Linked DNA regions of Saccharomyces cerevisiae S288C. Changing the gene in region 2 together with the main gene of any one other region gives a genetic interaction. Each region holds a gene or a part of one and is shown on either strand. Other genes may lie near its edges.

Region 1 (4,439 bases), on a different chromosome or scaffold from region 2:
CTTACCATAGCAACACGAGGGCTCGCCGAAACTTCCATCTAAAATAAAGAGTGCCCATTAATGTCCGGAAAACCACCAGTTTATAGATTACCCCCTCTTCCCAGACTAAAAGTGAAGAAACCTATCATTAGGCAAGAAGCGAACAAATGTCTTGTTTTAATGTCAAACTTATTACAATGCTGGTCTTCATATGGTCATATGAGCCCTAAATGTGCTGGCTTAGTAACGGAATTGAAAAGTTGCACTAGTGAAAGTGCCCTCGGCAAAAGAAACAACGTTCAAAAGAGCAATATTAACTATCACGCCGCTAGGCTGTATGATAGGATCAACGGTAAACCCCATGATTAATTTTATATCCAAAAGCAGCAAGAATGAAAACTTGATAATATTAAAGTCATGGCCTTGTATATACAAATTAAATAGTCTCAACGGAAAATATATAAACTTTTAATCTAATAGTAACATCAGCATTTTATTTTCTTTCCTCCGTTAAACCGTACTTAATTCTTGATCCTGCCTGCTCTCTCTAAAGTGTCATCAACCAAATACCAGCCAGGATAGTAATTGTCATGGTATTTGCTGAATCTTTCCTTATCCACCACGGAAATAGGTGACGTGTTTATAGCGGAACTACGTTCGCCTTCTGCGTCCTTGCCAAATGCATGAATGATTTCCCATTCAAAATGCAAGGCTGGATTATTGGAGTCCTTTCTCAAGTGTGGGTTAGGCAATGAGTTGTTAATTCCGCCGATTGATGTGAAACCTTTACCATATAGTCCACAAATTGGCTCATTAGAATACAGTAAGAAACTCCATATATTGGTTAAGTCCCAGTGTAAGAGAGGTTGCAACCTCATAAAATCAGGCCAGTTAGAATCTGTTCTTTGAATAGGCTTTAATGCTTCACCAAATGGGTCTGTGTGTCTAATACCTATCACTATAGCTTCGGTCTCAGGGTATATCTTTATAAAATCTCTAAATGCGTCTGCCATATTGACCGATGCACCAGATTGCCTTTGTGATTCGTATAAGGAAAGGCAATATCGCTCTGAGGTTTCCAGTACAAAATTCTCTAATGTAGGGAAAGTTTCTTCTTGATCAATGAAAACAGTTGGAAGTCTTTGCATGGGGAAGCTTTGAAACTCGAAATCGAATTGGGAATTTTGAGCCTTAATGAAGAAATATTCCCATAAGCAACTCAGATATAACAGTAGTAATACCTGGCAATCTTTTCCTCCGTTGTACGAGAATGATATTTCCCCATTCAGTGGACTCCAACGTACAAAAATTTCACTTAGTAAGTATTTTCTTGTCAACCGTATCGCTTCTTGTGTACTTGCTATTATCTGAGATTTCTGGTCTATGTGTAAGTAAGAGTTTGTTATCTCATAACACATCTCAGCAGCCTTGCTCAACTGCATATTGTGCTCCCCTATTTGTTTATTACTTTTTGCAAATGTTGCCCTCTATACCGAGAAAGTAATATCAGTTTTTTCCACTCTCAGTCAACAAAATCTTTCGAAGATTTTTCGAGGTTCTTTCTATAGACGGATCCTTAGGTTCTTGCTAACCAACGTGTTGTATATGAAACCCATCTCCAAATTTTGAGCTCTTCCCATCCTTTTGTTTCCTCGGACTCAATGAATTTGAAATCTGCCGAACAAGCTAACTAAAAAATAGGAAAATTGGAACAGAAGTTAAATGCGAGCAGGAACGTTTATTAGCGCTTTTAAGTCTAACACATATATATAACACTATTTACAAGGTTTGAATAATTTTCTACCTGTCTCTAGTTAAATTTTTTTTGAGGCTTTTGAGATAATTTTCAACAATTAGTAAGTCATTATTCGTGTCTTTATTCCATAAAACACCTACATTCACTATTTTATTTGCGCTGGACGAAACTTCCTCATCTGCACTGAGCTGTTCTCCTGCTTCAAGAAAGACATCCTCATTTAAACTTCTCATTTCTTTGACAATCTTATCCAATATATCCACGGTTTCAATATTTCCGATGACACCATTAACGCTCATCTCGGTAACCACACGTCTCAAGTAGCGAATCTCCTGGAAGTTTTCCCACAATAGCTGAACCAGCAAATTGTAGAAATCAACATTACAAATTGTTAGGTACAGTGAAGCGTCCATGTTGTTTTTACATTCATTATAAACATAGGAGATCAATGTGTACTTTCTGTCTGCCGGGAAATCAAAGTCACCTAATCTAAGCGATTTGACTATAATATATGGTAAAGTCATTGCAAGCGGTTTCGGTAGTTCTGCCGGTTTATTTATACACGCACTTCTAATGTCTTCGAAAATGTTTGAAGATTCTGCATTCATCTTTAACTCTAGGTCTTTGTTCCTTTTCTTGTAAATGTCTAGTGATTGCTTTAGGTATCTTAAAAGATCGTAATCACTTTTAACAGCTTCCCTCAAGTAGTCAATGTGAGGTTCTAAAACCTGATCCAGTGTGGTTTGGTACCGAATCTTATTACCAATTTCTTGCATCACTTCCTCGCTAAATTTGACGTTGGAATGTGCAACTGGCTGCCTCAAAGCTTCCATTCCCGAGCCCTTGCGCAGATTAAGATTCAGCAATTCTCTGTTGCTTTTATTAATGCTATTATCTTCGTCAAATATCTTTTCCAGCAAAGTTCTTGTCTGCTCACTTATCGTTTTAGTGCTAATAGCAGAAGGTTCTGCCCGTTCGTAGACATAGTCATTGCCTGCTGTTTCCTTCAGGAATTCATGGTCCTTATTTGGAAGCTTCCTTTGAGCTCTTTGACTGTGGTTAAAAACAATTTTTTCTTTTTTTACACTAGTTCCCTCGGAGTTGTCCTGTAGCCCATTGTAATACTTGTCAATTATTTTGCTAGCATTAGTGTGCCTCATGTTTTCAACCCTTGCTCCAGCTTCGAATAGTTCTCCAAATACCTTACGTTCCTCTTCGAGAGCTTGTTCAAATGTCTTTTCATTTGAAACTCTTTCTACGTTGTGAGTTTTTCTATCTTTCAAATTGGCTTCATTCAGCAAGCATCTATGGATGCAATGTATGTATCTATAGTTACAGTTTTTTAATATAGATGATGTTCTGATCATTGTATGGCGTGTTGTACTCTTCCTTAGTTCCCTCTTCTTCCTTTACAATTATCTCTCAAGTATAGCAAGCGTTGTCACATCACAGTTTTCGGCCTTGTTCGCCTAATTACATTTTTCTGAATAAATACGTATGTATGCTGCGAGTACTAGATACTGTTGATAAATGGTAACATAAATACTCTAGATCGCAAAAGCGCATGGAAGTTGAGCAGTAATATAATTTTAGAGGAATATGGTTATTATACTCCCTGAGAATAAGTGCACATTGGATGGGAAAATTTCGTAAAAAAAACTCTTGTAAAGACAATTGTTTCCTTAATAGCTATTATATAATCCAATTTGGTTAGAGTTTTGTATGCCGATTATTAACGTTACCCAAAAATAATACTGTCATACATCGGCTTGTTCTTGTTCGGCTTGTTTAAAGAAAAATTGAACGTAATAAAGTTTTGATATAGCATCCCAAAATGTACACTTTTTATTTAATTCATCTACTCCATCGTTATTATTGTCCATGTCATTGTTTTCGCTGAATAATATTTCGTTTGGAGGTAGCTCAATAGCAATATTTTCAAAGGGTTCATACGCAATAACGAGAAATTTTTTTCCCTTCTGTTTGGTATCTGATAGCTCTAAACCAGATACAATCCTAATGAGAGGAGGGACTTTAGCCTTATCATCGCTATCGACACTATTTTCTTTGACTTCACTGCTATAATTTACCTGGATAGCCAAACCTACTGAACCGTTCTTCGGGTTTTTCACGGTAGCTATTTTACAAACAGGGATCGTACCGTTATTCTTTAAAGATTGCTTAGCTTCAATTATCTTTTGTTGTTGTCGGAAATCATGAGTTGTTTGGCCTTCTCTCCCTAGAGAACTTTTCTCTATACTGATACCACGCCTTAACACATTTAAACCATGTTTTTTACCACCCAAATGCCTTTCAACGCTGGACCACGACATGTGCATTGTATTACATAGTTTACAAACCAGTTTACCGGAATGATTCTTGTAAATGTACGGATTGGACCTTACTTGATCGTCCTTTTCATCTTGGAAAGTGTACGGGACATTTTCGCCTTTACTAAGTAATGATTCGACTTCTTTCCTTCGTTGTAAGTTAAACTGAGATTCTGAGGCTATACCACCACCTCCTTTCTTTGACCCAACGCCTTCTAAATAGTTCATTTTGAATGTATGGATGCGTTAAATGATTTGAATTTGCTGTTCCACCTGCCCTTCTTACATTAAGCTATTTGTGAGAGCCTTGCGTCTTTAGCAGATTTTTTTTTTTCATTTTTTTAGTGAGATGGGCGGTACATGTAATATTTCAC
Region 2 (5,782 bases):
TCAAAGGTGTTTCTGACAATTCGGATGCGTTTGGTATTAGTAACAGCAACGAGTAGCGTTTGGGGCGCTTTGGTTGGCGTTGCTGGTGTTGTAGACAAGAGTCCGGGCATACAACCTTTTTGATGGCTTCAAAATTTTCTTGAAGGAAGTTAGCGGTTTGGTAGGCGTGAAACTGGTGGTAGGAGATTGTCTGTAAGCTGGCGTTAATTTCCCTTATAATACGCAGACTATCTGCGTTTGTCGACTTAAGCTCATCAAGATTGCCCTGAAGCCTGTCAACATTTTTCACTAATTTCTCGAAGGAAGGCTTGCCGATGGCCTTGCTTAGAATGGAGTTCACTTTGAAAGGGTCCCAGTGAAAAGTACACTGCTTATTCATATTATTGACGGCGGCGACATTGGGAGTGGCGGCAGACTGATGAGCTTTAACCAGTGAGAGGCTATTAATGTTATCTTTTTGAAAATGAATGTTGGAAAACTCCACGCAGTCCGGGCGGCCCGCCTTCTGGAAGTTATATTTGCTCAATTGCTTAACGAATGCTGCAAAGGTGTGAATACCAAAAAATCGCTCTAGGATGACTTTGGTGAACTGGTCCGGATTCCAAATGACGAGCTTGCTGCCATCAGTCGACCATTGTATTATGTTCGAGTAAGCGTTCCCCTGCAGCAGGTGGTAGAGTTTGCTTACAAAGACATCAGGCTGCTCCATCCTCGATGTTGCATCCATGTCTGACGTGCGTCGCTACACGAAAGAGACACACTTGGCGACTGCCCTGACTGGCAATATATACAGTCCGCAAATGTCGCGGACTGATGCGTCCACTTACTCTTCCTATATACCACCTGGGTGAAGAGGAGAAGTGAGCCCGTTCTGGAGATATATGTCCAAATATTTGCAGATCCAGTTTTGTCATTATAATGAGATGCCTTTTGGGCGACAAAGTTCGGGTAAAAGAAGGACGGGTCCAGGAAGGCCGTGGCCACAGAACAATGCGCAGAGAAGATTTCCGGTTTCTTTTTGGCTTTTCCGACTTTCATCTTTTAGAACTAAAGATTTCCTGCATCGGTAAACCTTAGCAATGTTTCTCTAGAGGGTTTTTGCACACCAGACACGTCGCACGTGCTCTTGCAGAGACTGCTGCGCTTTCGTTTACACTCAGATAACATAGTCTAGCTAGCTTGCTGTCGTTCGGCACGAGATCTAATCCTTCTCCTGGCCTACCGTCTGTGCAACCATTAGTCATGATTACGTGTGTTGCGCCTTATCTTGTCATTATGGCAGCATACTTTTCGTAGTCCTTTCCTGCGCAGCTTGTCCATTTTCGTCATTACGTAAAAAGTCCTAATGGAGAGCTGGGTACTGCATTTTTTCGATGTTTTCAATATTCAGTTCAGCAGGAAATAAACAAATAAACAAACATTAAAATATCCTGGTTTTTTTTCCCAGAGACGCGTGGAAGCACCCATGCATCCACTATTTATTTTTAAACAGCCGTACATTCTGTAATTTTGCTTCCTTTTTCTTCCTGCGTTCTTTTTTTCTTGAACTGTCGTTTTCCGTTATTTTTTTCGGTGACATCAGTTGAAAGTAGCAGCGGCCTAGGCCGGGAGGCCGTGTAGCTCTTTGTAGTCGTGGTAAGGGGGAGTAGCAATTCACTTAGTACGTGGTCTTGGAGTTAGGCTGGCTCGGACTGGCCCTGGCAAGTCCTGTTCTGTGTGGTAGTATTGAAATTTCAGAGATTGTCGGCAATACTAGTATATTAAAAATTATACTATAATTTAATCTAGTGTTGAAATACTTTCTTATATAGCGATTTTTCTGCCCAAAACAAACCAAAGAATCAATACGCAAAGATGGCTAGAGGACCGTATGTTTGACTATAGACTTTGATTATAATTACGCAAGGATGAGAAGAATGATAGACAAGAAACAAGTGGAGTCTTAACCAAACGAATAGGAACAACAATGAACCAGTTTATGTCCATTTAATTTTAGATCATCCTGGGATTGTACAAATATTTTACGAGTAATGATTTACTAACGAGCACAATGAAAAAAATAAAATGTCTGTATCTTCATTATACATTCATTTTTGCCCTTTTTTCTCATTTTTTTCCGTACAGAAAGAAGCATCTAAAAAGATTAGCAGCTCCACACCACTGGTTATTGGACAAGTTGTCCGGTTGTTACGCCCCAAGACCATCTGCTGGTCCACACAAATTGCGTGAATCCTTGCCATTGATTGTCTTTCTAAGAAACAGATTAAAGTATGCTTTGAACGGCCGTGAAGTCAAGGCTATCTTGATGCAACGTCACGTTAAAGTGGACGGTAAGGTTAGAACCGACACTACCTACCCAGCTGGTTTCATGGATGTCATCACTCTAGATGCCACCAATGAAAACTTCAGATTGGTCTACGATGTCAAGGGTAGATTCGCTGTCCACCGTATCACCGATGAAGAAGCTTCTTACAAGTTGGGTAAGGTCAAGAAGGTTCAATTAGGTAAGAAGGGTGTTCCATACGTTGTTACCCACGATGGTAGAACTATCAGATACCCAGACCCAAACATCAAGGTCAATGACACTGTTAAGATCGACTTGGCCTCTGGTAAGATTACTGATTTCATCAAGTTCGATGCCGGTAAGTTGGTTTACGTTACTGGTGGTCGTAACTTGGGTCGTATCGGTACTATCGTTCACAAGGAAAGACACGATGGTGGTTTCGATTTAGTTCACATCAAGGACTCCTTGGACAACACTTTCGTCACTAGATTGAACAATGTCTTCGTCATCGGTGAACAAGGTAAGCCTTACATTTCTTTGCCAAAGGGTAAGGGTATCAAGTTGTCTATTGCTGAAGAACGTGACAGAAGAAGAGCTCAACAAGGTTTATAAATTTCATAACAACTTAATTATTTTCTTCTTTTGTATATCTCCATTAATGTTTATTAGAAATTGAATTTTAAAATAATACATCGTATCTTCCTTTTTCGACTGGCAGTAATATAACGTATAATATATATATTAGGTGTGTGTATATATATCCGTATTGTAATATTGATAGTAAAAATACGCTAACCCTGAAATAGAAGGCGTATGATAAGACGTACTGACACTACGCACTACCACAATATATGCGTATGTGTGTGTGTGTGTGTGTGTGTGTGTGTGTGTGATTGTATTGGAATATATATACTTACTAAAATTAGCTTATATGGTTCGCATATTGACTATTTATAAGGATATTCAACTTGTCTGTCCTTTCTTAACCAAATTTTCTTCTTTCTCTTGGTGGTAACATGTTCCACAAACTTCTCAGTACAATGATCCACTTTGAATTTCTTTATGAAAACAGGGTCCCATAATTCAGAACCGACGCCGAGATCTTTGCAACACCTCATTAATGCATTACTTTTGCAACCTTCTGTAGCAGTTGGTATGCCGGCTTCGTTGAAATAGTCTTGTTCGCCTCTTGCCACACTGATCAATTGACCATGGCAAATAAGACCGTACTCCCTAGTGACCAGCTTGGATGTCACTATTGTTTGTGATCTTGGCACTAGCCCCCAACCGCCTGCGCCAAAAGCTTTGTTCAGTATTCTACGGTATTTAATTTCAGGCAAGTATATCAAACCATCTGGCTTGATTTCTATATCCTTAGGGTCCAGAGGCTCGATTAGATCCTTTTGCACTTTTGCTTCAAAGGGCTTCATACCTAGGCCATACCATGAAGTATACCAGTCAATGTCTCCCTTGACTTGCTTATAACTATTGTTCAAAGAATCATCGGCGGTGCTGCGGGTTTCCAAAGGGGTCCCGCCGAGTTTAGAGTTAATGCCGCTTGAATATTCCTTCATGTGGCTTCCATTGCCAGCTTCCGATTTTGTTGCAAATACAGGCTTGGTTTCGGTACTGTTGAAACTTTTCCTCACTGCACCGGCTGTTGCGGTGTTACTAGTGCCGGTACTCACCACGGTTCTTTTTTGGCAAAATTGAGCAGCATGCGATACACATCCTCTAACCTTGAAAATGCTTTTCATCGTACGCTGATCTTCCTACTTGTCCTTTCTTTCCTTTTTTAGTCTCTACCGTCTTTTTAAATAGTTTCTTCCATTATTCTGTCGATAAATTTCGTGATGTTATTCGTGTATTTCTTGACAAAAAAAATAAAAAATGAAAAATATGCATAATGAAACGCGCTTTATCAAAACTACTCACTCGAATCCTTACTTCTATATTAACTGTACTAAGAAGTTTGTCGATACATATTTTACCAAGATATTTTCTGACAGTCCACAGAAGTACAGATGTCTGTGCCCAAAAAACGTAACCATGGGAAGTTACCACCTTCCACTAAGGACGTAGACGATCCTTCGTTGAAGTACACGAAGGCCGCGCCTAAATGTGAACAAGTTGCTGAACATTGGCTCTTGCAGCCACTACCGGAACCGGAATCACGTTATAGCTTTTGGGTAACAATTGTTACCTTATTAGCGTTTGCTGCTAGATTTTATAAGATCTGGTATCCAAAAGAAGTTGTTTTTGATGAGGTACATTTCGGGAAATTTGCATCGTATTACTTAGAAAGGTCTTATTTCTTTGACGTTCATCCCCCTTTTGCTAAGATGATGATTGCCTTCATTGGTTGGTTATGTGGCTATGATGGTTCCTTTAAGTTTGATGAGATTGGGTATTCTTATGAAACTCATCCAGCTCCATATATCGCGTACCGTTCTTTCAACGCGATATTGGGCACATTGACTGTACCAATTATGTTCAACACTTTGAAGGAACTGAATTTCAGGGCTATTACATGTGCGTTTGCATCTCTCTTGGTTGCAATCGATACTGCGCATGTTACAGAAACTAGGCTGATTTTACTGGATGCCATCTTGATTATTTCTATTGCTGCTACTATGTATTGTTACGTTCGTTTCTACAAGTGCCAATTGCGTCAACCTTTTACATGGAGTTGGTATATTTGGTTACACGCTACTGGTTTGTCTTTATCCTTCGTGATTTCCACAAAATATGTTGGTGTTATGACATATTCCGCTATTGGTTTTGCTGCTGTGGTCAACTTATGGCAATTACTGGACATCAAGGCGGGTTTGTCCTTGAGGCAGTTCATGAGACATTTTAGTAAAAGGCTGAATGGTTTAGTTTTGATTCCATTTGTGATTTACTTGTTTTGGTTCTGGGTTCATTTCACCGTTTTGAATACTTCAGGTCCTGGCGACGCATTTATGTCTGCTGAATTTCAAGAAACACTTAAGGACTCTCCCTTAAGTGTTGACTCTAAAACCGTCAATTATTTTGATATTATCACTATCAAACATCAAGATACTGACGCATTCTTACATTCTCACTTGGCACGTTACCCACAACGGTATGAAGATGGTCGTATCTCATCCGCTGGTCAACAAGTTACTGGTTACACGCATCCTGACTTCAACAATCAATGGGAAGTGTTACCACCCCATGGCAGTGATGTCGGTAAAGGACAAGCTGTTCTATTGAACCAGCATATAAGATTGAGACATGTAGCCACCGATACCTACTTGTTAGCCCATGATGTCGCCTCCCCATTTTACCCTACCAATGAAGAAATCACTACAGTAACTTTAGAAGAAGGTGATGGGGAATTATATCCTGAAACACTTTTTGCATTCCAACCACTGAAAAAATCAGATGAAGGTCACGTTTTAAAGAGTAAAACGGTTTCTTTCCGTCTTTTCCACGTTGATACCTCCGTAGCTTTGTGGACTCACAACGACGAGT

The links.
Region 1: mutations in MGM101 (region 2) and FAD1 together harm fitness more than expected from each alone (negative genetic interaction), as found in Saccharomyces cerevisiae (one large-scale study listed by BioGRID).

Annotation. Positions count from the first base shown.
Region 1 is NC_001136.10:372,188-376,626, forward strand, and holds FAD1 (FMN adenylyltransferase), read right to left. Parts: upstream 1,422-4,439; coding exon 501-1,421; downstream 1-500. Other genes in the region: mitochondrial 37S ribosomal protein mS37 MRP10, read left to right, coding at 61-348; MTF2 (Mtf2p), read right to left, coding at 1,780-3,102; spliceosome assembly protein PRP11, read right to left, coding at 3,493-4,293. UniProt on the Saccharomyces cerevisiae protein: Catalyzes the adenylation of flavin mononucleotide (FMN) to form flavin adenine dinucleotide (FAD) coenzyme.
Region 2 is NC_001142.9:699,141-704,922, reverse strand, and holds MGM101 (Mgm101p), read right to left. Parts: upstream 4,042-5,782; coding exon 3,232-4,041; downstream 1-3,231. Other genes in the region: HMS2 (Hms2p), read right to left, coding at 1-727; YJR146W (uncharacterized protein), read right to left, coding at 685-1,038; 40S ribosomal protein eS4 RPS4A, read left to right, coding at 1,855-1,868, 2,125-2,896; PMT4 (dolichyl-phosphate-mannose-protein mannosyltransferase), read left to right, coding at 4,309-5,782. UniProt on the Saccharomyces cerevisiae protein: Performs an essential function in the repair of oxidatively damaged mtDNA that is required for the maintenance of the mitochondrial genome. Binds to DNA.